Astyanax mexicanus: one gene and its partner. The protein of the gene in region 1 interacts with the protein of each later gene in a pairwise test. Links are inferred from orthologs where the notes say so. Each region holds a gene or a part of one and is shown on either strand. Other genes may lie near its edges.

Evidence for each region.
Region 2: the proteins of pex13 (region 1) and pex14 interact in a two-hybrid assay, tested with the Homo sapiens proteins (2 studies listed by BioGRID and IntAct, with this or other methods). The link is inferred for Astyanax mexicanus from reciprocal best matches to the Homo sapiens genes PEX13 and PEX14.

Annotation. Positions count from the first base shown.
Region 1 is NC_064421.1:35,736,513-35,752,998, reverse strand, and holds the start of pex13 (peroxisome biogenesis factor 13), read left to right. Parts: upstream 1-7,505; 5' UTR 7,506-7,580; coding exon 7,581-7,651; intron 7,652-13,402; coding exon 13,403-14,103; intron 14,104-14,193; coding exon 14,194-14,316; intron 14,317-16,486. UniProt on the Homo sapiens protein: Component of the PEX13-PEX14 docking complex, a translocon channel that specifically mediates the import of peroxisomal cargo proteins bound to PEX5 receptor.
Region 2 is NC_064420.1:41,366,534-41,384,072, reverse strand, and holds the start of pex14 (peroxisomal membrane protein PEX14), read left to right. Parts: upstream 1-10,511; 5' UTR 10,512-10,729; coding exon 10,730-10,831; intron 10,832-12,444; coding exon 12,445-12,489; intron 12,490-17,539. UniProt on the Homo sapiens protein: Component of the PEX13-PEX14 docking complex, a translocon channel that specifically mediates the import of peroxisomal cargo proteins bound to PEX5 receptor.

The DNA of each region.
Region 1 (16,486 bases):
CTGGCTAGCGCTGCTAAACGGGGCTGGCTAGCGCTGCTAAACGGGGCTGGCTAGCGCTGCTAAACGGGGCTGGCTAGCGCTGCTAAACGGGGCTGGCTAGCGCTGCTAAACGGGGCTGGCTAACGCTGCTAAACGGGGCTGGCTAGCGCTGCTAAACGGGGCTGGCTAGCGCTGCTAAACGGGGCTGGCTAGCGCTGCTAAACGGGGCTGGCTAGCGCTCATAAAAGGGGCTGGCTAGCGCTGCTAAACGGGGCTGGCTAGCTCTGCTAAACGGGGCTGGCTAACGCTGCTAAACGGGGCTGGCTAGCGCTGCTAAACGGGGCTGGCTAGCGCTAATAAAAGGGGCTGGCTAGCGCTGCTAAACGGGGCTGGCTAGCGCTGCTAAACGGGGCTGGCTAGCGCTGCTAAACGGGGCTGGCTAGCGCTGCTAAACGGGGCTGGCTAGTGCTGCTAAACGGGGCTGGCTAACGCTGCTAAACGGGGCTGGCTAGCGCTGCTAAACGGGGCTGGCTAGCGCTGCTAAACGGGGCTGGCTAGCGCTGCTAAACGGGGCTGGCTAGCGCTGCTAAACGGGGCTGGCTAGCGCTGCAAAACGGGGCTGGCTAGCGCTGCTAAACTGGGCTGGCTAGCGCGGCTAAACGGGGCTGGCTAGCGCTGCTAAACGGGGCTGGCTAGCGCTGCTAAACGGGGCTGGCTAGCGCTAATAAAAGGGGCTGGCTAGCGCTAATAAAAGGGGCTGGCTAGCGCTGCTAAACTGGTCTGGCTAGCGCTGCTAAACGGGGCTGGCTAGCGCTGCTAAACGGGGCTGGCTAGCGCTGCTAAACGGGGCTGGCTAGCGCTGCTAAACGGGGCTGGCTAGCGCTGCTAAACGGGGCTGGCTAGCGCTGCTAAACGGGGCTGGCTAACGCTGCTAAACGGGGCTGGCTAGCGCTGCTAAACGGGGCTGGCTAGCGCTGCTAAACGGGGCTGGCTAGCGCTGCTAAACGGGGCTGGCTAGCGCTCATAAAAGGGGCTGGCTAGCGCTGCTAAACGGGGCTGGCTAGCTCTGCTAAACGGGGCTGGCTAACGCTGCTAAACGGGGCTGGCTAGCGCTGCTAAACGGGGCTGGCTAGCGCTAATAAAAGGGGCTGGCTAGCGCTGCTAAACGGGGCTGGCTAGCGCTGCTAAACGGGGCTGGCTAGCGCTGCTAAACGGGGCTGGCTAGCGCTGCTAAACGGGGCTGGCTAGTGCTGCTAAACGGGGCTGGCTAACGCTGCTAAACGGGGCTGGCTAGCGCTGCTAAACGGGGCTGGCTAGCGCTGCTAAACGGGGCTGGCTAGCGCTGCTAAACGGGGCTGGCTAGCGCTGCTAAACGGGGCTGGCTAGCGCTGCAAAACGGGGCTGGCTAGCGCTGCTAAACTGGGCTGGCTAGCGCGGCTAAACGGGGCTGGCTAGCGCTGCTAAACGGGGCTGGCTAGCGCTGCTAAACGGGGCTGGCTAGCGCTAATAAAAGGGGCTGGCTAGCGCTAATAAAAGGGGCTGGCTAGCGCTGCTAAACTGGTCTGGCTAGCGCTGCTAAACGGGGCTGGCTAGCGCTGCTAAACGGGGCTGGCTAGCGCTAATAAAAGGGGCTGGCTAGCGCTGCTAAACTGGTCTGGCTAGCGCTGCTAAACGGGGCTGGCTAGCGCTGCTAAACGGGGCTGGCTGACGCTGCTAAACGGGGCTGGCTGACGCTGCTAAATGGGGCTGGCTAGCGCTGCTAAACGGGGCTGGCTGACGCTGCTAAACGGGGCTGGCTAGCGCTGCTAAACGGGGCTGGCTAGCGCTGCTAAATGGGGCTGGCTAGCGCTGCTAAACGGGGCTGGCTGACGCTGCTAAACGGGGCTGGCTAGCGCTAATAAAAGGGGCTGGCTAGCGCTGCTAAACTGGTCTGGCTAGCGCTGCTAAACGGGGCTGGCTAGCGCTGCTAAACGGGGCTGGCGAGTGCAACTAAACAGGGCTGGCTAGCGCTGTAATGATTTACAGTTTTGTTTACTTAGGCGCTTCCCCCAGCTTCCCCATTTGAAGGGAAACATGGCGAAACACTTGCTCACTTCAATGTAGACTTCCTTACTAGTGTTGCATAATGTGCTTTATAATTCAATGCGTCTTATAGTCTGACAGTAAATTACAATTCTTATTATACGGTAATAAGCTGTAGTCTTTCTCTACAATACATTTTTGCAATTTTACAACGCTTTTTTTGACCTTTACTTACTGTACTGTAGAGCAAAAATGTGACTAAGGGGTTCCTGTTTCACATACTGTATTTACAAATGCATGCTCTCTCACGCACACATACACACACACCTACACATTACTGTAAAACAACCAGTTGCATTTCTCCTTTTTATGATATTGCTCTTGTTCTATAGACAATCAAAGTCAAAATTTCAAGTTAAGCATAAAGTTTGCATGTCATATATATATAAATAAATATATATATGTATATATATATATATATATATATATATATATATATATATATACACACATACATACATACATACATACCGTCACTGTGGTTTCTGACACCTGAGTACACTGTCTCTAGCTACACCCAGGCCTGATTATTGCCACGCCTGTTCTCAATGAAGACATCACTTAAATAAGACCTGCCTGACAAAGAGAAGTCCACCAAAAGATCCTTAAAAGCTACACATCATGCCGAGATCCAAAGAAATTCAGGAACAATTGAGAAAGAAGTTAATTGAGATCTATCAGTTTGGAAAGGGTTATAAAGCCATTTGGGAGCAGCTTCTGTTGCATGCTTCTGTTTAAGGTGTAGAGATAAATGTGTCGCGCTGCTTCGTTTAGAAGCAATCGGTTTAAACACACCTGTTTGGTCCTCGCTGCGTTACTTTCCACCCATCAACCCCTCCAATCAGAACCACATCCACTAGATCAGTTGAAAAAAAGTAATTTCAATAATTTTGGTTAGGAACCTCTGACAGTACACAGCAGGATTAGCCAGCAGACTTTGTCTGCATCTCTGTGGCAAGTCAGCGGATGAGAGAGATGTAGATACTTATAAAATATTGGGTTTTGTTCTTCTGTCACAGTTAAACTTAAACCAGCTTTTTCAAGTTTTGCCATTTAGCATAAGCTAACACTTTGGTGTGTTAATTGCTCAGTGTATACATGGGGCTTGGCCAGAAACAGCTTAATTGCATAAAAATCCTTAATCAGCTCATTCTGAAAGGGACTAAAATTGGTAAGACTAGAGCTATTGGACTAGAGCTATTGAGATCTCTAATGTAAAAGTGATTTTATTCAAAGAACTTCAGGAACATATTTTGTATAGCCCTAAGTTGTATAGACCTATTCTAATGTGTAAAAATAGACATGTTCCCTTAAAACAGGCCCCATTCAGAGCTTGATCTGGAGCTTGCAACAGACAATAGAATGTATTTAAGCTTTTCTAATTCAGTAAACAGTTTATTAAACTAAACTTTTTTCAACTAGAAATTACAATGTGGGTTAGCATGGATTATTTCTTAATCAGTTCTTAATTACATTTGTGCATAATTGAAGTCGCTTCTAAAATGATACTATATTATTGTCTTAAAAGTTTGTAATAATAACGTAATAGGTGTTGCACTGTAATAATAACAAAAATTGCAGATTTTAATTCCAAAAAATCTTTAGATCTTATCTGTAGGCCTAGATAGTCCTGAGGGTCCCCCGCTGATATTTATAGCATAGTGTGTGCAGTAACCTTGCTATCTTTACAATAGGCTGTCAAATCTCTCCAACACTGTCAATGAGATGAGACAGAAAATCTGTGTGGTACACACACCCCACCCACAGGGAAAAGCTCCACGCTACTCTACACTATTTCACAAACCAAGCAACAGGTGTAGTCAGACAGTCACTCACTCTTTTCCAGAAACCGTAGTACAGATACAGGGGCTAAAGAAATTGTTTGCGCATTTGCACATCTGTGTCAGTAACCTAAAGTAACATTCACTACATACAAGTGGTGTCCACAAACATTCAGACATATAGCTTAAGTTTTTAGTCAATATCAGTTCAGTTCTACTGAAGAGTGTATTTAACACTAATCTGCTTAATCACACCTGCCCCAGCTAATGGATGTCTTGCTTGGCAGGATCAGGTGCTTCAGGCTTGGCTGAGAAAGGCCTTTTCCAGCACAGGTTGGCGATTTCCCCGCTGCAGCACACCTGACTCACCTCCGCAGTAATAAACCAGAGCAGAAGTGCACAAACCAGGTTTAGTGAGGTAAAGGAAAACTCTGCTGACTTGAATAGGTTTGGTGTAAAATACTTTGTTCTAGAAAATCTTACCCAGTCAGAATATTTGACAGCTTTGGGGATGGCAAGCTGTACAATGAGAACTTTTAGTAAGAAGACCATTACCTAATCTTGTAGTTGGGCAGCGTGTGCTTCTTCTTGATGACCCTTTTGAGCTGGTTGACGATGATGGAGGTGAGCTGGGGCAGAGGGCGGCCCTCAAACTGGGACTTTACCTCGAAGTCGATGAGCGGGTCCTCCAGGAAGGAAAAGGACCAGTGTGTGAAGGGCACTCGGGTGAACTGCAGCCTGAGGCGCCCCGCCACCCGGGTCATCTTCACGAACAGGTAAGCAGATTTGCCAAATACCAGGTCCACATCAATGGCTAGGTGGAATCCCCCATTGTACTCTAGGTCCACCTCAAAGCTCAGCTCCTCTGGAACGCCCTCGTCATTGACAGCCACAGGTTTCACCAGCCGGGTGGTCTTGAAGATAGGCACGGAGTTGCCCAGGGAGATCTCACGGAGGCTGAGACCCTCTAGGAGGCGCCCTGCTGTTTTGGTCTGCAGGAGTTCCTCAAACTCCACCCGGATCTTCTTGGTGACCCAGTGGCGCACAACTGGAGTGTCCCGGAGCTCCCGAAACAGGAATAAAAAAATGGCATTGAGGAAGCCACAGGTCTCCAGTGCTGGGTCAGTGCGGGGGGATGATGATGGGGAATGGGGCTGGGATGATTGGGACTGGGTTTGGGAATGCTGAGATTGGTTCTGGGGTTGGGATAAAGTCTGGGCTGGTGGCGGTTTTGAGGCGTTTCCTTCATGCTGCCGGGAAGACACCGTGGGTACTTGCTGGTTCTGGCCCGGATCACTCGTCTGCTGGTGCGGCTGGTGCTGGAAGTAGTCTCTCAGTGCTGGATCCGCCACGGCTCGGCCGTACTGCTCGGTTCTCCGGACGGGCTCCGGGCTCCTCCGGTAAAGCAGCGCCAGCTGCAGCAGTATAGTGACCACGGCACCGGACAGCGCGGAGATCAGTATCAGATAGATCATCTTCAACCGGCTGTCAGTCTCGGAGGCCTCCGCGATTTAACGAAAACAAAACAACACCAAGAAAAGCGAGGTTCCACCTGGTCGCTCACAAAGCTGCCATATCATCCGCCTCGTTCCTGGGTTGCGGAGGCGCGCCCTGATTGGACCGACGCGCCCCTCGTCACTCTGCGTGATGACGACCGCAAGGAGCAAAGAGCGAGTTCCGGTGGGTTTTATTTAACACCCGTATACCGGAGAGTCCCGCCCTTCCCGCTCTGGGATTGGCGAGACTCGTCTTGTCTCCTGCGCTGTGATTGGCTAGTAGCTCAGGCTTGCAGAACGGCAGAGTATTTACGTAAGGGAATACTCTAATCTTATTTTATCTAGTCATAAGGATTACTAAGCAAACATTTATTCACAGTTTTATCACAATTGAATTACAATACATATATCTGCCTATACAGCTTACAGGAGCTCTTTTCACTCTGAGAATCCAGTCAGCCAGCTATTGAGGCTATTTACATTACAGTCTCAAAGACAGAAACAAAATCAAACCGTCTCTTAAAAGAGAAATCCGATATGAAATGGAATTTTGGTGTAGTAAAACATGACATTAAGTACTAACCTTTGTTGAATAGCCCAGCATTCTGAACTACAGAGCTTTTTAGCCGATAATTCCAACAGGCTTACAATACTAGCAATAGCAACGAATGAACAATTTTTACCCTTTTAACAAGCTCAAAGTATCTCCAGACTTTATTTGTTGAATTCTAAGAGCCCTGACATTTAAATGAGGCACTAAGAACTTTGAAAGTGCACAGTGTATAAAAAGTTTTTATTATACTACCTGTGAACCTTCAAATTTCTCAGTGCCTCATTTTCAAAGTCAGGGCCCTTAGAATTTTACAGATGAAGTGTCGAGATACTTTGAGCTTATTAACAGTGTAAAATAGTGATGGAGATAACCAGGGAGATGAATCACACAATAAAGAATTGTATTGGCTCAAGGCTGTTATCTTTATTAAGCACAGATAAAATATCATAAAGCTTTGACTCTTTGACTCAGATAAGTCAAACAGTTTTCAGTCTTCCCCATTAAAAATGGAATCAAAAGATGTCAAGCAACAAAGAGTGTTACACAATAGTTCCACCTAGTGATGAAAACAGGGGTATAATATTGTCTCCTATTGTCCTGTAGTGATGTATGTTAAAATAAGGCTAACACTGCCATCACTGCTTAAACTACTACTGCTAATAATTATAATAATACTAATAATACTACTACTACTACTACTACTAATAATAATAATAATAATACAATGAAACGAAGATATTATTAATATCTCGCAAGATATTATTAATGTTATTATTATTCCTAAATTTCCTTCGGGATAAATAAAGTATCTTTCTTTCTTTCCATCCATCCATCCATCCATCCATCCATTAGCACCTTTTTATAATAGAGACATAGTTGGTTTCCCAGACAGAGTAGAGGCCTAGTTGTGGACTACATATCTCTTTTAATGTGGACACTCCTTTCACACTGTTGCATAGTCTAGTACTATGCTTTATCCCTGTCCGTTAAACCAATCCATACACATGGACATATAGATAGTCAGAAAATTAGATCACAGTAGTATTCACAGAGGATAGCTCACTTATTACAACAGCAAACAGACAGCAGTGGAAGCAGCAACACCAGATTAAAAATAAAAATAAAGTACTAATTTACAGATAATAATAAAAAAAAACTAATTTGCTAAAAAAAAATAGTTAACTGTTATAGGTATCATAGTAGTAATAGTAGTAGCAGCAGTAGTAGTAAAATAGCATCTTTACAATGCATAATAATATTACATGCATCGATATCAATAACTAGCTAAATACAAAATAGAACATATTTTTAAAACATATGAAGAACAAGTTAAAAATAAAGAAATATAATAGTAGTAATAATAATAATAATAATAATAATAATAATAAAAATAGAAATAATGTATTTTTAAACTAATGCATTCTAAATAATAATTAAAAAATATATAAAATATATATTTACAGTAATAAAATGTCTTAAATGTCTTACATATATAAGCTTAAGCCTTCATTTATGCGGTTACCTTCAAGGGGGGTAAAATCAAGTTTTTATAGGAACAAGTACACGAATATTTACGGCGTTAGCGGAATAGAAATATGAGTTTATGCAGCCGTAATTACGGTAAAGTCCAGACGCATATGAAAGCAGTAGCGCAGCAGTGGGTGGATGTCGGTTGGTTACCTCTGAATAATGTCTCAGCCGCCTCCAAAACCCTGGGAGAGACGAATTCCCGGGGCGATGCCATCCCCAGTAAACTACCGGTCAGTAACACGGTTCTCTCCAAATCCTGCTTTTCTTTCAGAAAACAGAAAAAAAAAACAGGCGTATGTGTGAACTGGCCCTGTAGCAAGGTGACAGGCCCTGTGTTGTTGTGTGTTAGCTTGATTGCTACACTAAGCTAAGCTAAACTAACCGCGTTCTTACGCAACTGAAAGTTCAAAGCACGTCATATTTTAATCCCGATAATAAACGTCTGATATTATTTAATACACATCTAGTCCATCGACAGACCCTAACTGCGTGTCAGAGTGTCCAGACTCATGTTTTAACTATAACGTGTCTTGACTGGTTTGGTGACCTACAGCTGTCGGTGGAATAAACTTTATGACTAGTATTTAAGCTAACTTAACTAACCTAAGTTTTTGTTATATTTGAATCTCATTAACTGCTATCGCAATAGCAAAATGTCCGTCCGACATAGCATACATAACAAATATAAATCACATCTTATAGGTAGCGTCTTATTCGCCAATGTCTTATTCGGATTTTCCGGTCCACCTTAAAAAGTCGAAATACCAATGATTCGCCAGTAGAGAGCAGGATTGAGCCAAGCAAAACGAGTTTGGTATTTAGGGCATATACATTGAGAATACATTGCCTGTTCTGGGTATTTCTAGTTGCCCTAAATCCAGATTATCAAATAGTCTGTTGAATTTGAAAATAGAACTAGTATACTGTGAATAGTCTAAAGACCTACGGATATTACTGTTCCTTTTTTATTATGACCCTCTTAACTTAGCATTTGAGAAGATCAAAGGAGAAAAAATGGCCTGTTCTGCATGATTCCTGTTGCCCTAACTCCATATTTTCAAATAGTCTGTTGAATTTGACACCAAAGTATGAAAATAGAACTAGTATACTGTGAATATTCAATAGAAATACAAAAATTACTGTACCATTTTGTTATTATGACCCTCTGAACTTGGCATTTAAGATGATTAAAGGAGAATAAATAGCCTGTTCTGCATATTTCCAGTTGCCCTAACTCCAGATTATCAAATAGTCTGTTGAATTTGACATCAAATTCTGAAAATAGAACTAGTATACTGTGAAAAGCCCGAAGTACTAGAAATATTATTCTACCATTTTATTATAACTCTCTGAACTTAGCACTTACAATACAATATTGAAGTAGAATAAATGGCATGTTCTACATATTTCTAGTTGCTCTTACTCCACATTATCAGTCTGTTATTATGCATGCTTATTTCTCACCTCTATATAACAATATTTCATGCAAGTGTGTGCCATATTTAAATCCTTTCCTATTACAAAACTGGTAGTATTGTTTTTCTTTTACCATCTGAATATAGGAAATTTGTTATAATTGTACTGTTATTGAATCAAGGAATGATGCATCAAGTTTTGATAACTGAAGATTTTAGTATAAATTGCAATATATATCATTGTAATATTTATTTCTGACAACAACAAGTGGGACACAATCGTGGAGTGGAATGAAATTTACTGGATATTTAAAAAAAAAATTGACATAAATAACTGAAAAGTGGGGCAATATTATTCGGCCCCTTTACTTTCAGTGCAGCAAACTCCAAGACCAAGAAACAAACCAGACAGGTCCGAGATACTGTTGTGGACAGGTTTAAAGCAGGATTTAAATACAAAAAGAGTTCCCAAGCTTTAAACATATCAAGGAACACTGTGCAACTGATCATATTGAAATGGAAGGAGTATCAGACCACAGCAAATCCACCAAGACCCGGCCATCCCTCTAAACTTTCAGCTCAAACAAGGAGAAGACTGATCAGAGATGCAGCCAAGAGGCCCATGATCACTCTGGATGAACTGCAGAGATCTACAGCTGAGGTGGGAGACTCTGTCTGTAGGACAACAATCAGTTGTATACTGCATAAATCTGGCCTTTATGGAAGAGTAGCAAGAAGAAAGTAATTTCTCTAAGATATCCATAAAAAGTCTCATTTTAAAGTATGCCACAAGCCACCTCGGAGACACCAAACATGTGGAAGAAGGTGCTCAGTCAGATGAAACCAAAATTGAACCTTTTGGCCAAAATGCAACTTTAGCAGGGACATAGAAGATGGTTAAAATTGATGGGAAGATGGATGAAGCCAAATACAGGAGCATTCTGGAAGAAAACCTGTTGGAGTCTGCAAAAGACCTGAGACTCGGACAGAGATTTGTCTTCCAACAAGACAATGATCCAAAACATAAAACAAATTCTACAATGAAATGCTTCACACATAAATGTGTCCAGGTGTTAGAATGGTCAAGTAAAAGTCCAAACCTGAATTCAATCTAGAACCTGTGGAAAGAGCTAAAAAAAAATGCTGTTCAAAAACAAACGCTCTCTATCCAACCTCACTGAGCTCCAGCAAAAATTTCAGTCTCTCGATGCGCAAAACCCCAAGCGACTTGCAGCTGTAATCAAAGCAAAAGGTGGTGATCAAAGTATTAATGCAAGAGGGTAGAAAAATATAGCACGCCCCACTTTTCAGTTTTTTCAGTTTTAGATCTTTGTTTGAAGCCTGAAATTTGGCAAAAGGTTGAAAAGTACATGGGGGCTGAATACTTTCGCAAGGCACTGTAACTGTGAAACAATCTACACATGCACAAATTTATCTGCAAAGCATGTACAATAGAAAAAAGAATTGACAAAAAAAACACACAATGCATGCTACATGCTTTGCAGATAAATTTGTACATTTGTAGATTTTATTTATATATATATATATATATATATAAATTCACCTATATAAAGTCACAAAGTACCCAATTTTGCTTCTCTGTGAGGTTTTGCAATCTGCAGTGTGGTAACTGATAATGAGGAGTTCCTGGAGAAAATAATTATTAATGCTCCCTGTTACTTTTTCCCAAATAATGCACATTTAACCCAACCTGCTTTTTCCTCTCTGATCCAGCTGGCAGGGAAATTAATGTTATTTCTTTGTGCATACTCAAAATTGTTGGTCTAAAATTAAGAATGTCACATAGATTTAGTGATAAAATGTAAGATTACAATGTACTGTACTGGCACAAATTACCCCAACCCCACTATTTTGGGGAAAAAATCCATCATCCAATAGTTTTGGGCAAACATGCTAGCTGTATAGACTCATAGTGTAGCTTACCAAAGCACTAAAACTTGTGAAATGTTTTCAAACTTGTCTGTAACTGTTGAGACACAACAATCAAAATGGTTGACTTTTCAAAAATGTGTGGTCACATCACCAATTTCTTCTGTGGTTCTCTAGAAACAGGGGGTGGCACAACTTCCCTACTGGCACAAATCAGCCCATTTAACCCTATATATAGGGCTGCAGCTATCGATTATTTTAGTAATCGAGTACTCTACTGAAAAATCGATTCGATTAATCGAGTAATCGGATGAAACATATTTGTTTGCTTAAAGAGTAATTAAAAATACACAAAAAAACAAGCCATTTCACTTAATAATGAATAACCAATTGATTTGCTTTTTTAGATAAGTTATATTTTAAATTCACAACACACATTTCCAAACTGCAAACACAAATAGAAATAAATAAATAAATAATAATGTAATAATTAGTGCTTTAATACATTAAGTGAAATTATTTTCAACAAGGATTTCTTGTAAGTATCAAAACTATAGTGAATTAATCAATAAAAAAGACATAAAAATTTGCATTATGTTGTGCATCTTAGCTTCTGAACAGCAGAGATGTTGCAGTTCCTCTCACCAGGACGGTGACATGTATTTGTTTATAAACTCCACAGCGCTGTGTTCACTTACATAAAGCCTGTATTAAGTCCAGAATTGTCTGTTTTAATAAAACTAATAACACATCAGACAGTATTACTAATAGTCAGCGCTCCACAGCACTGTCATTATGTTATTAAGGTACATTAATATTAATCGCATTGATTTGTTAATAAGTTATATTAACCTTCTCTCGGCTCCACCGCTAACGTGTCCTCGGCTGAGACGCAGCATTAAACCGTGCTGTTGTGGGAGGCAAGAGCGAATGTACGCTGTTCATTCTAAAAAGCTCCATTATTATTACACTTTTTCCTCGTAAGATGTCGCTCTTTTCCCTCGGCGCTTCAAAATACCCTCCTCTCAACCAAAAACCTTTGTGCGGGTGACGTAACGCTGAGCGCGTTGTCACATTAAAAGCATGAATTACCGCGCGCTGAGTTTTTTTATTTAAATAAATAAATACTCGAGATATATATATATTGTTTTTGTGTTTTTTTCTGTCATTTTTTTTTTTCAAATAAATTACACTTTTTTTCTACTGTGCATGCTTTGCAGAGTACTTTGTGCATGGTAGTATTACAATACTACCCGTTTTGTAATAGGTAAGGATTCAAATATGGCACACACTGACTGATAATGTGCACTCTAAGAAATATAAGTACTTAAAAGGGTACAAAGCTTGTCGCTGGGGCTGTACCTTACATTGAGGTACAAAAAATTCCTTTAAAGATTATAAACCAGTAAAGATTATAAAGATTATAAACATTATCATCAACTAAATATGGCTCAAAAACTTGATGATCCAAATTTGTCTGGCTTTCAAATAAAGAAATGTGCAAAGTGTAATTACAGTGCACGGCAGTGGACAAATAGTTAATTAATTCCGTCACCTCACGTTTAATTTTATTAAACGTGAGGTGACGGAACTCAGAGATGTGCGCCCGGATGGGACTAAAATAATCATATATTTTTCAGATTTACAAAAATTTTGATATCAGACAAAGATAACTTGAGAAGTTTTGTTTATATAATAATTGTATTTGTTAATATAAAAAATCTATTTAAAACAACCTGGCCTGTGTATTTGCCCCCTAAAACTAATAACTTGACTGTGTCACTCATGACGGCAACACCTGCAATCAAGTGTTTGCAGCAACTGGTAATGAGTCTTTCACTTGTTTGCGGAGGAATTTTTGCTCACTCTTCTTTGAGAACTGTAATAATTCAGCCACATTGGAGGGTTTTCGAGCATTAACAGCCTGTTTAAGACCATGCCATAGCTTCGCAATCGCACTTTGGCTTGTCCACTCCAAAACCTTAATTTTTTTTTTTTGTGCCATTCAGACTTGCTGGTGTGCTTCGGATCATTGTCCTGCTGCAGAGCCCAAGTTCAAAAACTGTTGGACGGATATTCACTTTCAGAATTTTAGAATTCATGGTTACACCAAGAGCAAGTTGTCCAGGTCCTAAATTAAGCAGCAAAGCATCTCCAGACCATTTGTGAATATTTGCTCTCACTGTGGTCCTCTGGACTCTCAAAGCCTTAGACATAACTTTGGAACCTTTTCCAGACTGATAGAGAATCAATGACTTGTTTTCTTTTCTGTCCCTTAAATTTCTTCAGATTGGGGTATAATGGGCTGCTTTTTGAGATATTTTAGCTGCTTCATGTTTTCATAAAGATTCTATGTAGGTGGTTTTTTGATTCTACAGGTTTAGGCGTAATCATGAAACTGCTTTTTGTATTTACACAGATTATCATTGTCTGATATTAAAGGTCATTTGACAATCTGAAAAATGTAAAAAAAATAAAATAAATAAAATAATCATAATAAAAAATGAAAATGTGCAAAAGAAGTCTGTATGGAGGCTAATACTTTTTCAATGCATTTGACACCAAAGCTTACTATTAATGAGTAGGAAATTACATCTTAGCTATGTATAATACCAACGTTTTACAATTTTGCTATATTTATATTCTGAGAATCATATATCCTTTCACAACTTTCAGGAGTAGTGACTTTATTGGTGCAGGAGTGAATGGACCTCCAGCATCAGGTCCGCCAGTTTTAACACGTATGGCTCCACCAGTCCCACCTCGGCCTGTCCAGCAGACCTACCGTCCGGCCTACAACTCCTTCCCCTCTTCTTATAGTCCGTATGGCTATGGCGGAGGCTACAGCCCCTACAGTTATGGAGGGTATGGCCTCGGGGGCGGTTTGGGCTACAGCCGTTTCCGTATGGAGGACGTTCCACCCAGTCGCTTCGTCCAGCAGGCGGAGGAAAGCAGCCGAGGTGCTTTCCAGTCCATCGAAAGCATCGTGCACACCTTCTCTTCAGTCAGCATGATGCTGGATGCTACCTTCTCGGCTGTCTACAACAGCTTCCGCGCCGTGCTGGACGTGGCCAACCACTTCTCCCGCCTGCGTGTCCACTTCACCAAAGTGCTCTCGGCCTTCGCCCTGGTGCGCACACTGCGCTACCTCTATCGTCGCATGCAGAGGATTCTGGGATTGCGGCCTGACCTGGAGGCAGAGGACCTGTGGGCGGACAACCTCGTGCTGGCTGCTGGGACCAGAGGACCAGGGCTGGACGATTCCAAAGCAAACACTGTGAAGTCATGGCCCATTTTCCTGTTCTTAGCTGTGGTTTTCGGAGGCCCGTACCTGATCTGGAAGCTGCTACGCTCTGAGGAGGGCACAGAGGATAGCGGTATAGTATAGAGCATAATTATTGCTCATAATAACGATTAGTAATATTTGTAGATGTTTTAATTGTTTGACTGACTGTTTCTGTGTCCAGGCACTAACTGGGCAAACGGTGAAGATGACCATGTGGTGGCTCGAGCAGAGTATGATTTCACTGCTGCTTCTGAGGAGGAGATCTCCATCCAGACTGGAGATATGCTCAATTTGGCTCCTAAGGGTAAACATAATTAAGCATTTACCTTTACCTTTATTCTCTTTAAATAGTCAAGATGATAGGAGTAAGTTATTTTAAAATATTTAAGATTGTTTCTGATCGTTTGTATGATTGTTTAAATATTTCCAATGGTATTATTGTGTTTAATTATTTTTTCAATGATATCTGTGATATATGTTAATATTCTACTTGATAATTTATTTTATTTTATTTTAATAAATATAATCTTAACTAATAGATTTATTTGAAATTTGTCAAAATAATAAAGACAGTATTGTATTCATATTTAAATAGTGAGTTGCTTGAAATCTTGATTTGGACCGTTCAGTGTTTTTTGAGGGTGTGTGATTTCGAGCGCTATTAGTCTTTTAGCTCCATGGTCGATCCAGATTTACACCTCTAAGCAAACACTGGGAATCTGAATTGACTGTAAATGAACAGAAGCACTTTACTCACCAAAATAAACAAATTTCAGTAGTAGGGTTGGGTATCGTCACGGATTTCCCAGATCGATTCGATTCTGATTCCCAAGGTCCCGATTCGATTCGAAATCAATTTTTTTAGGTAAGTTTCAGTTACAATAAAAACTGTAGTTTAAATATGAAAAGTATACAAGGAGAACTCAAACTTTCACTATTCAAATATTAGTGTTTATATTATATAGACTTAACACAACAGTTACATTCTTCTTTTAATATTGTTTAATGTAGCTTACTTAATTGCTACACTGTTGTTCACATCTTTATACAGGTTTGGAATGACCACTTTACTCAAATATTTACATGTAGGTAAAATATGATTCAGAACATTAATGAGGCTTTGGAAGCCATCGTTTTCAACAACGCTGTATGATTGTACGCACTCCCTTTTTTTAATTACATAAAATCACAACATAACATTGCTTTAAAAACTTCATAATTATTTGCAAATAGAAGTTTGAAATTTACCCAGACCCATGAGTTCAGATGTGATATTATAATTAGCACAATATAATAAAAACACAACAAGCAAATTGAATATTGTAATAAGAGAAAACGTAATTAAATTTAAAGGAAAAAGCAGCTGGTCTGACTGAAGTTCAGCTCTCCCGTTATAAGAGTCTCTTCCTCAGCCAGTAATCATGTTCATTCCTGGGGACAAAACTGGCAGGGGGCGGGGATAGTGAATCGCACGGGCGGGGGGCTAGTAAACCAGGCTAAAAAGGGATTAGTTTAACCGGTGATTTGGCTAACCCGCTAAGCTAACGGTGGATACAGCCGGTCAGATCTTAAAACAGTGTTAAATGTACTAGTTTGATAAACACAGGCAGCTCTGAGTGGAAATTCCGAAGAATTTTTTTTACATTTTTACAGAAACTCCTCTGCTCCAGCTCACTGGTGTTGTGTCGTTCGCGAACGATTCGTTTGAATGAATGAATCATTTGAGTGAACTCACCCCAGCCAGAGGACGGTGCTCGCGAGAATGGTCTTGTGAGATAAACGGGGAAAATGGGCTATTTCTAAAGATTGATTCTTAAAAACAGATCGATTCTTCAGATATTTAAAAACACTGACTCAAACCTGCCTGTAAATCAGCTTATCATTACTACTACTGCTTCCTAGAAAATCGATATCTTCACCCTCCAGACCTGCTCTCCATTCAAAGATCGATTCAGGTTTATATGAATCGATATCGGATCATTGAAATGAAGATTGATTTAAATGAAAGGATTGATTTTTTAAATCCACAAAAGTACGACAAAAATGCAAAAAAAATAAATAAACGGTAGGAGGCCAAATAATTTTTGTGTAGTGTAGAGATACAGTGGTGTAAAAAAGTATTTGGCCTCCTACCGATTTTATGTATTTTTGCATTTTTGTCGTACTTAAATTTTTCCGGTTACCAAACAAACTTTAATATAAGTCAAATATAACCTGAGTAAATATAAAATTAACTTTTTAAATTATGATTTTACTTATTAAGAGAGAAAAACTATCTAGATAGATAGATAGATAGATAGTCTCTTTACAAAAGACAAAAGACCCCCCCCCCATAAATTAACTGTGATTAATCTCACTTTTTGTAAAACTGAGTTCAATTTCACTACTATCCACAACCAGGACTGGTTACTGCCAGACCTGTATAATCAAGAAATCACTTAAATAGAACCTGTCTAACAACATGAAGCAGCTAA
Region 2 (17,539 bases), on another chromosome or scaffold:
AAGAAGCTCTGCTCCCAGATGTTATATGGGCAGCCTTTTCACCGCTTCCTGGCTGTCCTCCTAAAGCGACGCAGGAAGCGCTGTAGCCATCCTCCCTGCAAGGAAAAATGACACAAGAAAACAAAATAAAATAAGACACGGTGTAAAAACTATTGACAAGAACATTTAATACACATTAATAGACAATAGAACAAAACAGCACAATTGCTATAATATTCTACTAATGCACAAATACAATATTCCCTATATCTGCATTATTCTTCTTGATCCTGAGGTTTACTGTTTTATGCTGAACATCTGACCTTAACTTTTCATTTAAAGACAGAGTGGTAAAAAAGAGACTTCACTAATAATTTTACTATAGAAAATTTTCAATATTTACTGAACACTTAAAAAAAACTAAATACTGAATAAAACTCTAGTGCAGGACTAGATTATACCATGAAATAGGATGATTATTACTAAATGACAGATAGTACATGATACATACTTGAAATATCTAGAGAAGCTTCTACATACTGCAGATATTCCTCTATAGCTGCTGTACAGCAGGATTTATTCCTTTAACTCTTACCTGTGCAGCAGGCACTGGCTCAGTCTCCTGAAGGTCCAGCCTGTGGTCTGCCTCCCCAACCAGCACCCCGACTCGGCGACGAGACCTGAAACAACAAAGCAAGCTACACAGGTTAAATGTGGTGCTGCGCTGTTTCTGGGACCTGCCCCGAGTGTGGAGGGTCGGTGAGAGGTGTCCGGTGTCCTGCTGGGGTGGCTCTGCCGACTGAGAAGATAAACAAGGGAAGAAAAAAAATCCTTCATTAGTCAATCTGTGTGGACATTCACAGTGTTACAGCAGTGAAGAGATGGTTAACCCTTAAAAAAATGCTGTTTAAAGAGGATACTCATTCGTTTTAAAGGTGTATGCTGCTTTAAATAACACTGAACTCTGACCTGTAGACTGGGAGCAGGCTCCAGAATCTCCTCCTCTCCGATACCATCCTGCCTACGACCGTCCTCCTCCACATCATGGTCCAAGCCAGCCACAACCTACAAGAAACCGAGAGGAAAAAATTAATGGGTTTCTAAAGAAGCACAGCTGTTCAATTTGAAGATGATGAGGTAAAGACAGAGATGATGTAGGACTGACTGCAAACTCCAAATACCTGTGCAGCTGGCTCAGCCATGATGCCAGGCACTGGTTCAGAGGAGTCCAGCCTGTGAGAGGGCACTGCCTCTGCAACAGACACAATGACTCCCTGAACTGGCCTGGGATGTGGAGGAGAGGGAGGCTCCATGGTGCTGGGGAGGTGGTCTTCTATGCACTGTTTAAGAAAAAAGTCAAGCAATACAAAATGTACTTATTAAATACTGTACTAAAATATACTGTAAGACCATGTGCACTGTTCTGATTTACCCTGAATAAACATATACTATACTGCATGGTGGTTTTCTTGCTTCTCAGCTAATAGCCAGGTTTAATAAGTGTGTCAAAGCTGCACAGATCTCCGTCTCTAATTAATGCACTACTTTTGTTGCTGTACTGTTTCAGTATTTTAGGTGATATGTGGTTTTGGATGCAGCTGTATGACAGTGATGCTTCACTGCAATTTAATCTTTTATTGTGCACTTTTTCCTCACCTGCATAATACAGGCCCTCAGCTCCACACAGGGCTCTGGCACTTCACCCAGCGACTGAAGACTGGTGGACAGAAGGCTGGAGTCATCGGAGCTGAAGTCCAGATCGGAGTCCACCTGCAATTGAAACATATGTTAAATTAATTCCAACCATCATCGAAAACATACACCAAAAATATCACAGTATACAAGTTTTTATAGTATGGGTTTCATATAAATGTAACAATATATAATAGACAACTGTCACTGTGTGTACCTATGGCAATATTGGCTTTACTATGGCTGATTCCATTGTAAATCAGTGTAAAGAGAATTTATGTCAAAGCAATGAACTATTAAGACTATTTATTATTAAATAAAAAGTGCTAATTATGTGCTATCATGCTTTATAAAACATCACAAACTGAATCTGTTTTAGTTTGATGGATCGAAATTAGTCCATATCAGTAAATCTGACATTTTTATATATATATATATATATATATATATATATATATATATATATATATATATATATATATATATATATATAAATATATTACTGGGTCTGATAAAGGTTTAATAGATACTTACAGAAAGAGGCGGAGTGTGAGGAGGTGAAGCCTCTGGAGCACCAGACTCCGCCTGCAGAACAGATACTCACTTTAATTCGAGCTGATCCATCTCCAGCTTTATTTCTGAATTTTATTCAGTTTTATTTAGTTCAGTTTATGAATATGGGTTTGGTCTAAAATGCGAAAAATGTCTACTGACCTCACGTGGAAGGAGGGTAGAAATCCTCAGCCACCAGGCCATTTCCGACCGCGGGGCGTTGGTCCCTCACCTGATCCGGTAACCTGAAGATAAAAACAACAACAAAAAACACAACAACAACAACAACAACAAAGAAAATACAACAATTACAGAATAATTAAATCAGAATAAAGATAATTAAACAGTCTAAAGTGTAAATCAGGTGGTGGGTATGCAGTTGTAAAAGTGTCTCTCGGAAGTGAAAAGCTGCTGCTGCTGCTGCTGCTGCTCAGAAGCTCTAAAGCTCAGAAACAGTTTAAATAAAAACAAATAAATCGAACCTTATATACGCCGCGCTTTGAAAAAAAAGCACATATATATTTTATATATATTATTTTTTATTTTATTTATTGTTATTAGTCGCTATTACCTTGTTTGTAAAACTCAATCAAATAATGAGAATGAGATCAGGTTCAAATAACACGAAAAATACAGAATTAACATAAAAATAAAAATAATAATAATTTTGAGTCGGCGCATGCGCAGTGTCGATAAGAAGCACTCGTCGATGGGTAGCAGAACTCGACAAAACATCCGGCTCTACTTAAAAAGCTACAACAGGTGTTCTGTCAAATTAAGCTACCCATCGATACGTGCTTCTTAAAGGCAGTGCGCATGCGCGCTGACCTGCAATTTTTAAGTATTTCTCGTTTTTTTTTTATCTGTTTTTTTTGTGCATTAAACAACAGTTCGACTCACTGTCATTGCACAGAAGTGTAAATGGAAATGAATAACAATAAATACAATAATTATTATTTAAAAATGATAATATCATGATATCTGGCTGTATTTTGTACCATTATACAGTGATTTATGCTTTCCCAATATATTATATATACGTCTACTACGAACATGCTCGAATATTGTTCTCTTTTTTTGTAGTTTTACAGTTAATATACATTAGGGAAGCACGGTTTGACAAGGAAGCACGACTCGACAGAACACCGGTCATTTTACTGCAGTGAGTACCTGTGGAGCTAACGCCAGTTAATTTAGCAATGCGGTTATTCAGAATTATACGACGCCTCCATTTCTGTTTATTAAAACAAGAAGAAGTGCTGCACGGTGGAAAGTTGCAGTGTTGGAGTCACGGGTGAGGAGTACTTTACTGTTATACTTTGAATATCCTTGTAGTTTAAGCCAATTTAATATTTACTGGAGTTCACATTGTTAGCATTTAAACACTGTACCACAACCAGGTCCAATATACAAATATTATCTAGCTATGATATGAGGTTACCTAAAAAATAACTTTACATCAAATTAGTTTTTTTTTCTTTCTGGTCAAGTCAAGTTTTTTAAGCACCAGTGTCTGTGCCTACTCAAACTCAATACATGTACTCAATACTACTACTAATTAGTAATTCTAATATATATATATATATATATATATATATATATATATATATATATATATATATATATATATAAGCTATATTTAAAGTGGACATAATTTGTGTGTTGTTAACATTATTTGTGTGGAAAAAAACTGCTTATTCTGTAAAAATATAAAATAGTGTGTAATGTTGTGTCCTGTTACACCGACAGGTTTCCTGTAATGAATCTAACGGGGATTCTTGCCCCATTTCTTAGAGACAGAGACCATGGGACAGAACTATACAACAGCAGACAAATATTAGAAATGTATTATCAATTTAGGTCTTTATATTTATGATTAGCACAAACGATACATGAATAATCTGTAAATATTATATATTTATTATGTTTATATATTTATTAGGTGCTGTGCTGTGTATCACGTGTAGTATCTTTGACATTTTGAAAAGGAAAAAGACTAGCATTTTGGTTAATAACTAAAAGGACACAAAGTAGCTGTAAATATCTTTTTTCAGTAATTGCATTTGTGAAGTTTAGAGGAGAAGGAATATAGAATAAAATATAGGAAATAGAATCGAAATGTCCTGCTTATTTTAATTCTTTTTCATATTTTTATTTTTGGTTCCAGTCATGCGATTGGAAATCAAGAAAGATCAGGTAAATATCTAACGTTACTTGTATGTACATTTCTTTCTGTGTGACTGTCTGACTCTTATCTATCTATCTATCTATCTATCTATCTATCTATCTATCTATCTATCTATCTATCTATCTATCTATCTATATGTCTGTCAGTCTATTTTAATCTATCTATCTATCTATCTATATATATATCTATATATATCTATATATATGTGTGTGTGTATGTGTGTGTATGTGTGTGTGTGTGTGTGTGTGTGTGTGTGTGTGTCTGTGTGTGTCTGTCTGTCTTTCTAACTAACTTTTTGTATGTCTGTTTCTGTCTGTCTTTGATTGTTTAGAAATGTAGGTTATAATTTATCAGTGGACCTGTGGAAGCCCCATGTGATTGGTGACTAGGCCTCAGTCACTCAGCAGCTCTGGCTCGATTACTCAGCCTGTCCCAGACTCGGTGAGTCGAAGCAGAAACTCAGTCGCTTCAGCTGTAACTTGTTAGCTGGGTTAGCTAGCAGGAGCTGCAGGCTGGAGAGGATGGCGCCCTCGGATCAGTCCGAGCAGCACAGTAAGGTAAAGAGCTAAAACGGGCTGGCGGCGGTGAGGCCGGGCCGCTGTGCGGTGCTGGGTCTGTGTGTGTTAGTGTATCTGTGGTTAGTTAGTTGGTGGAGGAAAAGTTTTAGCCCAGCTGCTGCTGCTGTTGCTGCTAGCGGGCTGTTTCTGACAGCTGCAGGCCACAGGCAGCTCCAGCCCTCCCGCAGACCGTTTATAAACCAGCCAGGGCTTTATTAACACTTTAACTATATCGTGTTTATTTAGTTATAGAGTTTATATGTGTGTAGATAAAGCCAGCAGCAATCTTCAGCTCTGGAACTACAAGGCTAGCAGGCTAACTAGCTAACGGATATGTGTGCAGAGCCGAGCCCGGGTCAGTGTCCACAGAGAGAGCAGCGTGTTAATGTTTACACTCAGCCTGAGCACTGCACTGACACACCACACATACCGCACAGCCTTAAACACTACAGAGAGAAAGAGCTCTGTGTTTAATCTCTTACATCTACATACTCGTGTGTACACCAATATTCTGTTTTGGTTGGCTGTCTGTTTCTGTCTTGCCTGTTTTTGTTTGTTGTATACATCTGTATCTGTTTATCTTTCTCTCTCTTTTATATCTGTATTTGTCTGTATTTATCTGTCTATATACAGGTCCAGAATCAGTTTCTCTGATTTTGCTATTTATAGGTATTTGTTTGAGTAAAATGAACATTGTCGTTTCATTCTATGAACTACGGACAACGTTTCTCCCAAATTCCAAATAAAAATATTATCACTTAGAGCATTTTTTGTAATTTATTAAAATAACAAAAAAAGATGCAAAGCTTTCAGACCTCGAATAATGCAAAGAAAACAACTTTATTCATAAAGTTTTAAGAGTTCAGAAATCAATATTTGGTTAATCACAGTTTTTTATGCATCTTGGTACGTTCACCTCCACCAGTGTTACACACTGCTTTTGGATAACTTTATGCCTTTACTCCTGGTGCAAAAATTCAAGCAGTTCAGCTTGGTTTGATGGCTTGTAATCATCCATCTTCCTCTTGATTATATTCCAGAGGTTTTCAATTGAGTAAAATCAAAGAAATTCATCATTTTTAATCTACCTATCTATCTATCTACCTATCTATTTTTACATGACTGTTCTGTTTTGGTTGGCTCTGTTTCTGTTTTTCTATGTTTGTTTATTGTATACATCTGTATATTGTCTATTTATCACTTTCTGTCTTATCTGTATATCTATCTGTCAGTACTTGTCTATTTTTGTTTGTCTGTGTTCCTCTCTTGTATATTGTTTTTTTGTGTTTGTCTGTCTTTATATCCCATTGTCTGTCTATCAAACATCTGTTAAAATGTCTGATATTAATGTGTAAAAACATGCACAGTTTTTTTAGTTCCTGTATTATCAAAAGAATAGGACTTTTAAAGTAGGATTGAATTAGGATGCATTAGGGTGTTGGGGATGATGCGGTGTGGTAATCTACTCAACATCTTGTCTTCATAACACTCTTGGCCTAAAGGAAATCAAATTCTCACAGCAATGCTCAACAATCTGGTTGAAACCTTTCACGGACAGTAAAGATAGTCATCTATTTCTGTCCATACATGTCTCTCTCTCGCTCTCTCTCTCTCTCTCTCTCTCTCTCTCTCTATATATATATATATATATATATATATATATATATATATATATATATATATATATATATATATATATATATATATATAGCTATTTATCTGTCTATGTGAGTCTTTCTAGCTATTCTTCTGTAAATTTCTATTTAAATATATAGCTATCTATCTGTTTGTCTTTCTGTCCGACTAGCTATCTATGTATATACATTGCCTGGCCAAAAATCACCACCTGAATTCAGACTTGTCTTGAGATATTCTTTTGATGCTTAATAATCACATATGTTAATGCCACTGAAATGTCTTATCCAGAAGTACTAAATAGAAGCTAAACAATATTTTAAATGTTTTATAAAAGATGGTGATAATACACAATACAAAAATATGTAACTTTTATAATACATGCAACCTTTATGCATGTGCTAAGCATTAAACATTATGATTTTAATTAAATATTTAACTGGGAAAAAAAACCCACATTTGTGTTTCCGCAGCAAAAGAAGAATATTAGCGATTTAATTATTATACAGGCTATTTATTAATATTTTTTTAAATCCTTTAGTTCTCAGTACAGAATCTCAGCCTGAGTGATCAGTGTTTCTCTCTGATCATGTTTGAAGGGTTTGTCTTTGGACGCTGTTATCAGTGTTAGGAAACTCTGTGAGAGGCTCAGTGTGATAAGTGTGTGTTTGCTTAATGCAGGGTTTCTCAATCCTGGTCATGGAACCCCCTGTCCTGCACATTTAGTCCGTTCCCTGCTTCCAGCACACCTGATCCAACTAAAAATATGTAAGGGTAGGGGTCTAAGAACTAGGAGTGGGAATCGCCGGGCATCTCACAATATGTAGATAAAATACTCATCCTAAACAAGCAAATACCAGGAATTATGGGTTTATTGGTGAATTTGACAACTAGTATTCACTGAAGGTTTACCTAATTCATTTTAGGAGCGAGATCATGTGGAGTAATGAAGCAGTAACTTTAGTACGTCAAATTGGAGGACATGCCTTGGGTGGTTTAGAGCACCTGTGTTTCAATAAAATATATATGCTGCACAGTAGAACAGTGCGTCACCACTGAAATTCTGCTAAATCTCCCTAAAGGACTTTAGCTGTCAAACGGTCATTTTTATTTGATGTGATTCACTTCAGTTCACTTCAGCCTTTTTATGTAACCTAATTCTGACTCATTGTTGGCATAGACATCTGATAGCGCTTTCATTAAGTGTTTCCTGAATTCTGATATTTGTGCTGAATATATGACCTCTGCACTGTAGATTCTGTTATTGCTGTTATTGCTGGTTTGTACTGGAGTTGAGCCCCTGTTTGCTCTTGAGCTCAATATCAGCTTCCAGGCTCTGCTGGTGTTTTGTTACAGTGCCGAATGATTGTCAGCTTCCCGACTGAAATCCAACAAGTGAGTGAAAGTGTAGAAGCTCTGTTGTCCTTTTCACCTTGTTCTGATGGAGGAATCAGGCTGTGATATCAGGATTGGCCTTCTGAGAAAAAAGAATATGCATTCAGGATATGCATTTTAATTTTCTCTTATTCCTACATCCAGTTTAACGGGACCAAGTATCTTCAGTGTTATGTAAAAAAAAAAAAAAAAAAAACTTTATCTGTCATTTTGACAATTGAGTCTGACATTGTGTCACAGTCGGTGGTCTAACAGATATAAGGAACTCACAGTTTAAACCAGATCATGATTTTTAATCACAATTTATTTTTTCAGATCCGCAAAATAGAAAACGGGGCAAATGTGAGGAAGTGATTTTAGCTTTACATTTGAAAGTATTTTTGCAATAAGGCTTAATTTGTTTTAATGACTTATTAAAATGTAATCGTATTAATGGAATCAACATTCTACGATTAATCGCACCCTTTTATCTGTATAAGACTGAATGTAATGACAAGGTGTCGTAAAACAACAAAGTAGCTGTGTGTGTGAGTGTAGGAGAAAAGAAAGGAGTAGTTAGTTATGAGATTTAATCCAGATTTTAGCATAAATAAATACAAAATCTACTCTTTAAACTCAGTAGTGATTCTGTGTTTACATCACTAAATAAAACCACTGATACATCACCAGGCTCTGTAAGAGGATTCATTTGCATGAAAAAAAAATGTTTTAAGGTTTCTAGATCAATCATATTTGTAAACTTTGGCAGGACTTATTTTGACCTAGTGTTTGTTTGGTATTTAAAGCTTTCACTGTGATTTATTTATTTATTTTTTGACACTTGAAGGTTTCTTCTGTTTAAACCCCTGTCCACGAGACTCCAGCACCTCACACTATTATAACTTTGCTTCTACTTACACTTCACAGTCTGTATGTGATTAAGGTAAAAACTGTAAAATGTAAACAGCAGCAGTAAAACTGGATTCCTCATTTTTATTGAAAAAAAATAAAATTGAGAATTTTGCATCACATTGACATGCTTATTGTAATGAAGCATGCAGTTGCAGTACACTGATCATGTGTAAGCTAAAATTACCCCATACTGCTCACCTTTACCCTTAATAATCATGCAACCTATCCAACAATACCTTGGCCCCTGTCCATATTCTGATATTGTCTGTCAGGGATCCAGAATGTAATAGGAATGAACTATAATAATGGGTTCAGTCTGAATTCAGTATAAAACTAGAGGACAGTAAAGTACAGACCTGTGTTATGGGCACAGAGACGGAGTAAAATGACGAGAGGGCATTAAAGAGAGTGTAATCCGTTCACCTGAGATTTACTATCTGAGATGTTATTTAGATGTCTGCTGTACTTTTCTTTTGGCAGTGGCTGGAATTTTATTACCTGATTAAGCCCTTTGGACAGGCATGGATCACTGACAATGGAAACAATGACTGAATTTTGCTCCATTTTTATTGTTGAGCTAATAACATTAGCGTGCTAAGTCTCTACTTCCTGTGTTCAGTTTTGAACAGGCCGCTGTTGTTCCACAGTCGTCACCCACCTTTTAGTCTCATCTTTTATAATGGTGGGAAGAATTGACTGAGCTTAAATCTAATTTAAAACTATTAGTAAAGACACTAATAGGGAGGACTCTGTTTACACAATAACTAGACGTTAGAAAATGTGTGTTTTTGCACATTACATTTTGTGACTGGTGTCAGTAATTATGGTGTCTGTAAAAGGTTTTTAGATTTCTAAGCTTTTCTGAGCTTTTCTTAGCTTGCTGGGTCAGTGTTCATCTGTTTAATTTACTGTTTTTGAGGCTAAACCTAAAAATTGGTGTAAAACTTAATCATTTTTTTCCCACATTTGGTTTAGTAAAAAAGGTTTTTCTTTTTTCTTTTCACCAAAAATATTTATTCTTTTTTCTTCCCGGTTTAATGGTATTGCACAACCTACTCTTACAAGATGCAAAAATTTACAAAAATTGTAAAAAAAAAAAAAAAAAAACATTTCTTATTTACAACACCAAATTTGGAAAAAATAAAAAACAAATTTTAACACACAATTTTCTATTTTCATTAACTAATAAATGATACACTGAGCTATCGTTATACTGTAAGCAAGACCATATATATAAATAAATATATAATAAAATTATAGGACAAATGTATTGGTATTAACACTCCAAATGCACAATATCTGAGTAAAAGGAAAGTTTACTGTTTATCCAATCAGAACAGTCTCTTAACAAATCTTTAGATGCAAAGTGCTTGATAAAGCATTGATAAAACAAAATGTATTTTTTTTGTTGTTGTTATTTCTGCCATTTCTCATTTTCTGCAAAATGCTCTAAATGACAATATTTTTATTTTAAATTTGATTTGGGGGAAATGTCTGTAGTTTGTAGAATGAAACAACACTCTTCATTTTGCTCAAACGTATACCTATAAATAATGTGTGTGTGTGTGTTTTTTTAAATATATTAGATATCAGGGTATTTATTTTATCGGCCAATCCTGAGAACTTATCAGATCATATAGGTGAGTTAAGATTTGCAGCAGAACTGTGCGGCTTACAGTTGGTGAAGCTTGGTCTTAGAAAGCTGCAGTACCTTCGTCCAACCACTAGATGGAACTCTGGTGCTGGAGCACAGCTGCTGCCACTAACAGCTCGTTAGCAGTCAGTGTGGAGATTAGCTGTTTCTGTTTAGCAGTTTCTGCTGTTTTTATTTGTATATACAATGTGTCAAATTATTGTTCCTCATGGAGGAAAGAGAAAAAATACTTTTAACCTCACTAACTGGATAATACTGCTCGGGACAGTGCATCGTTCAGCCCATTCAGTGTGTACCAGAGCTAACAAACACTACTAACCACACAAACAATTAACCACCACATTTTAACCACCAGTACTGCAGCAGCCATCTAAAATAATATTTAAAAAATCACAACTTTTCAGGTGTGCAAAAATAAATTAATAAATTCTGCAGTATTGTAGGTAACGCTAGCTTAGCTTATATGTGTCAGACTCTTAGCTGGGGTTTCCCAGTGTTTGTAATGTAAAGGAGAGGATGTGGGAGAGGATGTGTGGCATATTATATATACAGCTTGGATGATGTCACAGTAGAATATTGTTATTATTAGAATAAATGCTTAAAAACACACACACACACACACACACACACATGCCAATTTTAAAATACAAAAAATAAAAGTATGTGTTGCAATTGTTCAAAAATTTAAAATGTTGTGAACACAAACTCATATTAAAATGTTAGATTTTAGAGTGATTTTAGTGTATTTTTATTTAGAAGAGTTGGCCTTGGTCTTACAAAATGTCATGTGGTGCGACTGTGATTAATGTTAAAATTAATACATTTCCTTAATACACTTTACTTTTATTTTACAAATTCCCACTAATATTAAGTGTCTATAAATAAAGCATTTGCATTAATTTTTAGTTTTTTGTAAATAATGATCTTAATTTTGTTTTTTAGTGTCACAATCACTGGCTTTAATGTAGTTGATAGGGTATTTTTTTCCTGTAAATCCTATAAAACCGTTAAAATCTTTTCTAAAATACCATTATCTTCAGCATACAGTATCAATAGTTAATATAAAAGCAGAAAGATGAGCTCTGGATAAAGATATTTCTTTTAAACACATTTTAATATCGGACAACCAAAAAGAATACTTTAAATTATGATTTAATTTGTTAAGAAAAAAAATCCAAACCAACCTGACTCTGTGTGAACAAAAGAAATCTGTAAGTGGGCATTTACTTTTTCACAGCACTGTATGCTGTTTTTTTTTAAATGTTTGTTTATTTAAGGCAGCTGTTTGTTTTAGATGGCTGTAATTAGGTAAAATTACTAAGTTTGCCTGGAATGGTTGATTGGACCCTGCCGATCGGTGATTGGCCCATAAAATGCTGATCAATCCGTCTCTTAAAAATATCCTACATAAATAAAACATTAATAAAATGCACCTGCTGTTGTTTTTAAACCAAGTCAGCATATCAGCTTTATTGATATTTATGGGTTCTGCTTGTGTATAGAAACAGAATTGGCAACATTTGAGGTCAGCATTATTGAGGTTATGCTCATTTGTTGTACTTTAACTTAATAATGTAATTATTGTGACGTGCCTCGTAAATAGAGTTCAGTGTAGAAATAAATATAGCATTACTCCCCACTTAATCTGTTCTGTTTTGTATTGTAATAAAAGGGTCAATTAATGAGTAATTAATAAGTAATTTTCCCGCTTTGTAGTTAGAAATGTAAAGAATGATCATGTATAATGAACAGATTGTTTGCTAACAGTTAACAATATTTCTAATAGGAAATGAAGTCAGAATTCAGTTTAGTTAATAAGTCCAGCTAAACTCACTGTATTATGTAAGAAACACCTCTAGGTGGAGCTGTAACACAAGCCTTCTCTTCTCTTTTCTCTGCAGAGTGGATCTCCAGTCCGAGACGATGCTCCACCACGAGAAGCACTGGTAAGACGATACTCGTGCTCTGAATATCACCTCTATCCTTCCTCACTAAACTCCTCTAAAAACACAGAGTCTAAACATGTGCTCTCAACATGCTTACTCAGATTATGATAGACCATCTTGTGCGCTTACACACTGTTGTTTACACCTGGTCACTTCTTAATGTTTTAAACACATGCATTTTTACACTTTTTGACCCAATGTGCCTCCAGTTAGTCAGCCCAAAATCTGATTTCTGTGCAGGATGGAAGATGTACATTCATAAAAATTGTGCGTTAGTTATTACTGGTGTTACAGTTGTACTGGGAGAAGTTTTGGTTGTTGATTGTGTCTTGTAGACTCAGATACATTTACACTGTTTTAATATGTGGCTCAAATGTGTGTCAGAACACCGCCTGAAATGGGTTTGAATGATGGGATTTGTATTTGTTTTAAATACAATTCAGTTTTTTATATATACACCTTTTTTGCGAGGTTTGCATTTATCCTGATATCATCCTGATAAATAATATATATCAGTGATTTCTCTAATGATGATCTGATAACATTAAGATTCACTTGTTTGCATCAGAATGTAGGACTAAACACCCCATGTCTATTTATGGCCTCTTCCAAACATGGTTTGAGTTATCCGATAAAAAAATGGTCAAAAAATGGATTTCGTACACATTTTAATGCAAGTGTGAACAGAATGGCCTTTTTAATATTAAATTCTGTCAGTCAGGCGTTTGTATGTTTGTTATCTGCCACATTTTAAAGGGCTTTGAGACCTTTTTGTCTAAAACTCCACTATTACTAAACTTTTCACTTTCTCTGAGCACGACAATGGTCAAGATCAACAAATTTTATAGTTGGGAAAACAGAAGTTATGGATGTTTTGTTTGATTTTATGCAGGAAAGTATGCATAAAGGATGCATTTTAGTGACAAGTGTAAACAGAATCAAGGTAATCAAAATAGATCCAGAAACGGATACAAAACGTGTTCTAATACCTGGTAGAAGCAGTTTTGGTCACAGTAAAGGAATTAAGTTTAAATCTGCTAATAAGTAATGTTTGAAAGCTAGTTTTGAATAGGGTCCACTCATCCCTAGCTGTGTTATTAATCATTAATGCAAAAGGCTGTAACTTATTATCCTATAACTCCAAATAATGTTAATATTATTGTATTAGCTGTTTGCCATATAAAAGGTGTCCAGAAAGCTCTCTTGTTATGTGTTTTAACAACATGTACTTTAACATCTCACCTCAGAGACAGCATCAGGGTAATATTTTGCATAAATCTATTTGGGTTGAGCATAATGTTTTGCATAAATTTAGAGCTAGACATAATAGAGACGATGATGAGGTTATTTATTTGTCTTTTTGATGAGCAGACGTAATCAGCCATATTCTAATTATTTCAGCCGTTTTTTTTTTGTCCCAGAAGTTATTATCCTGTAGTTAAGAGTGTTTACTGGTTTATATGTCATTTAAAACCCAGAATCGAACCCATCCCCTTTGTGTTCCCTCTCTCACCGACACACACACTGCCTGCAGCTTGTTTAGTAACATCCGAATGATTAGTTTCTGAATTGTTCCTTTTTGTTTAATGTGATTTCACGGCATATATGATCTCAAACCGAGCTCAAGGCGCTCACCTCAAAAGCGGAAAAAATGTGGATTATTAAGGCTCCTCGGCCTCCTAACCGGTCGACAAGTCGCCTTTTTTCCCCCTCCTTTTCTCTTTTTGATGAGCTGCTCTTTCCCAGTTAAGTGGATTATTACAGTGCTGGATAATTCATGTCACAAGGCATTATTTGGATGAGGTGAATAATTGAAATCTGTGTCTGAAAGGATTTGATGTGGATGAGAGGAAGGGGACTGGTGGCAGGGTTGGAGGGAGTCAGAGGCAGGCTCTGGGCGGCTGTGCCGGGGTGTCAGGCTGGGGACAGCACTCATGCTAACAGGTTCTGACTCACCTCGCCGGGATGGGCGGTCCTCACTCCTCGGTGGCAGGCGGCCCCGGCCGTCTGAGCCATAGCAGGTTTGGACCTGCGCTCCGCTTCGCGCTGTCAATCAAACCCAGCACCAGTCCCATTCAAGCCTGAATGAAGCTCGCCTCCGGGGGCTGGCATCCCCACCCAGCTCACCGGCTCAGCCTCTGTGCTCTATTCCTTACTCTATCTGTCTCTCTCTCTATCTGTCTATCTGTCTCTCTCTCTATCTCTATCTGTCTCTCTCCCCCTCATTCCTCTCCCTCACGCCTCCCGTACATTTCCTCTTTCTTTAATGCTGTGAAAATTTCCACCTCAGGCAAACAGCATAGCACGTTCTACATCTGATGTTTGAGTGTGTGAACGTGGTGTAAAAGTCTCTGAATGATAATTAGAGGTGTAATTAGGAGTGTAAAACGTGAAAACTCAAATGTGTGTATTTTAGTGTGTATTTTTTGCTAGAAGAGTGTTTTATAGAAGATAATAAAAAGATGCTTTACACTCGCAACTGTTTTAGCAACCACAAATGGTTCTTTTGCAGTGTTGCTTATGGAAGTTTTTTTTTTTTTTTTTTTAATATTACTAGAAATATTGATTTTTTTTTTGCAGTATTTTGTCAGTTCTTAGATTCTAAGATGATTCATTCATTAATTCACTGCTTTATTTTATGTAGTGTTTAAGCCCTGGCTGCAAGATAACAGTGTTGTACTCTGTCTGTTGTCTTGATCTCCATTTCAGTTTTCACATATTGAGTAAATTCTTTAAAACTTGAATTGAGCCACTGGGAGTCTAGGTTTATCTTTTGGTTTACATTGTTAATAATAATCTGTTCCTTATTCATTATCACCATCCACATTTACTTACAAATAGAGTTAGTATACACACAGCTTGTCTTGTCTGTGTAGAGAAGTACTGCCAGTAGAATAGGACTCTCTGTAGCAGTTATACATTAACCTATTTACATCATTCCTAATGCCAGCTGTGGGTTAGAGATGGATTAATCCACCAGTATTGAGCTGTAGAGCAGTAGAACTGTGTTCTCTGGAATAATAGTGCTTCATCCAGTCCTTTGGGGATACAGTATAATTAAAAGTCCTCCATGGACAATGGGGACAGTTACATTTACTACAACTACTTTATTTTTTTTCCAGTTACCCTTGATTTTGGTAGAAGCAATAAATTAATAGGTATCCTATGACAGTTTTGTCTATATAGATTAAGATTGTTTATATAAGTGGGCTTTACGTTAAATGTTTTTGCCTTTACTCCACTGTAATGGGGACTGTTAGGGGTGGGTGATGTGGACCTAAAATAATATCTTGATATTTGAGGGTATGTTTATAATAACGGTATTCTCGCTGGTTTGACTAAAATGCTGAATATATATATATATATATATATATATATATATATATATATATATATATATATATATATATATATATATATATATTCTTTCCAGAATATACTACTTCAACAAAAACATTCAACAGAAAACATCAGATTTTTTTTTTTTTTTTTATGAATAACTGATAAAAAACTAACAAGATTTTTTACAGCAAAATAAATGTATCATAAAAGTAACGTCATGTAACATGAGTACTATATCAATATACAATAAATGGCAACAGTCAAAAATTATACCTTTTAAACTTTACAGCAAATCATCATACAAAATAGACTGCTTATTGATTTTAATAATATATATATATATATATATATATATATATATATATATATATTGTTTTATAATTTTTAACAATATCATTGTGTACAATATGATATGGCACACCCCTAATGACCGTACCCTGAGCTGGTAGTGAGGTTATGCTGCAGGGCTGTATGTGAACAGACTCCCAGGCCGACCCTGCCCTGCCCGCTGGGCTCGCTCTGTGTGCCCCAAATATCACCGGCCTCCTGTTGAAAGAGGCAGGGATGCAGAAGCTGAGGGAGGAGGTAAAAAAGGAGGAGAGGGAGGGGAAAAAAAAGAAAAAGTTGTCAGAAGAACATGCCGGTCTCGCTGCGACTTCAAAAGCTCCCCTTCCCCAGGATATTAAGCGACTGTGATGAAAAATTTAGTGAGCGTTAAATAAGGCGCTTTGAAGTGATCTGTTTTGGCTCAGCAGTCTCCGAATTTCCGGAGCCCCTCTGCTATCACCACCATGTTGGGAGAAGGGGAAAAAAAGACCTCACAAAGCCCAGGAATCGGGGGCAGTCTAACAAGATGCCAACATTAACATTACAGCCAGTGGCACTGGCCGGAGGGCGGGGGCGGGTTGGTGGCTTCTCGGCCTTTCTGTCACTGTCTTTTTCACTAATCCCGTTTTAATTTTTTTCCTCCTGGTTTCTCTCTTTTCCCTCCGCTTTGCTGTCACCCCTTGCCCTGCAGTTATGGTAGACATCTGTTGCTCATATGTTAGTTTTGAAAATGAGCTTCTAGTTCTTTGGGGACTTGTGGAACACAGTAGTTCTAGGCAGCAGGCGCTGTTCAGGACCACGCCAGAAGCGGCCTCCCTTTGTTACTGGAAAGGCTGAACTGTTTCTGAGAAAGCAGTTGGAGTTGTTTGGTTTGATTGATTATTTGTTGTTTGATTAGCTTGATGTTGATCCAGGCTCTGCCCACAAAGTATATTGAGAATGGACAAGCTTTAGAAATTGTTATTTAACATGATCTCTGGCTAAATAATGGCAAAACATTGCCAAAAATCCCATTTAACCCTTTTATCTGAACACAGAAATAATTGTGTGGGTTTTTCATTTCACATAGATGTTAGGACACCCCATGAAAACCTTTTGTCTTTTTAGCATTTATAAATAGATTTTTATTGAAACAGTTGTGAAAGATAGAGATTATATAGCTGAACACAAACAGTATGGAAAATAAAATTAAAATAAAAATTGTTTCTTAGATTTACAGTGCTTTTATTTTTATTGCAGATAGTATGAACCCAATGTATTTTATGTTTTGTCTGGCAGAAATTATTTAATTTATTCAAATTCGTTTGCCACATTGTATTGTACGCAATAATATTGACAATATTTTTTTTATATTGTTTTTGCAAAAATACCCAAAATAACG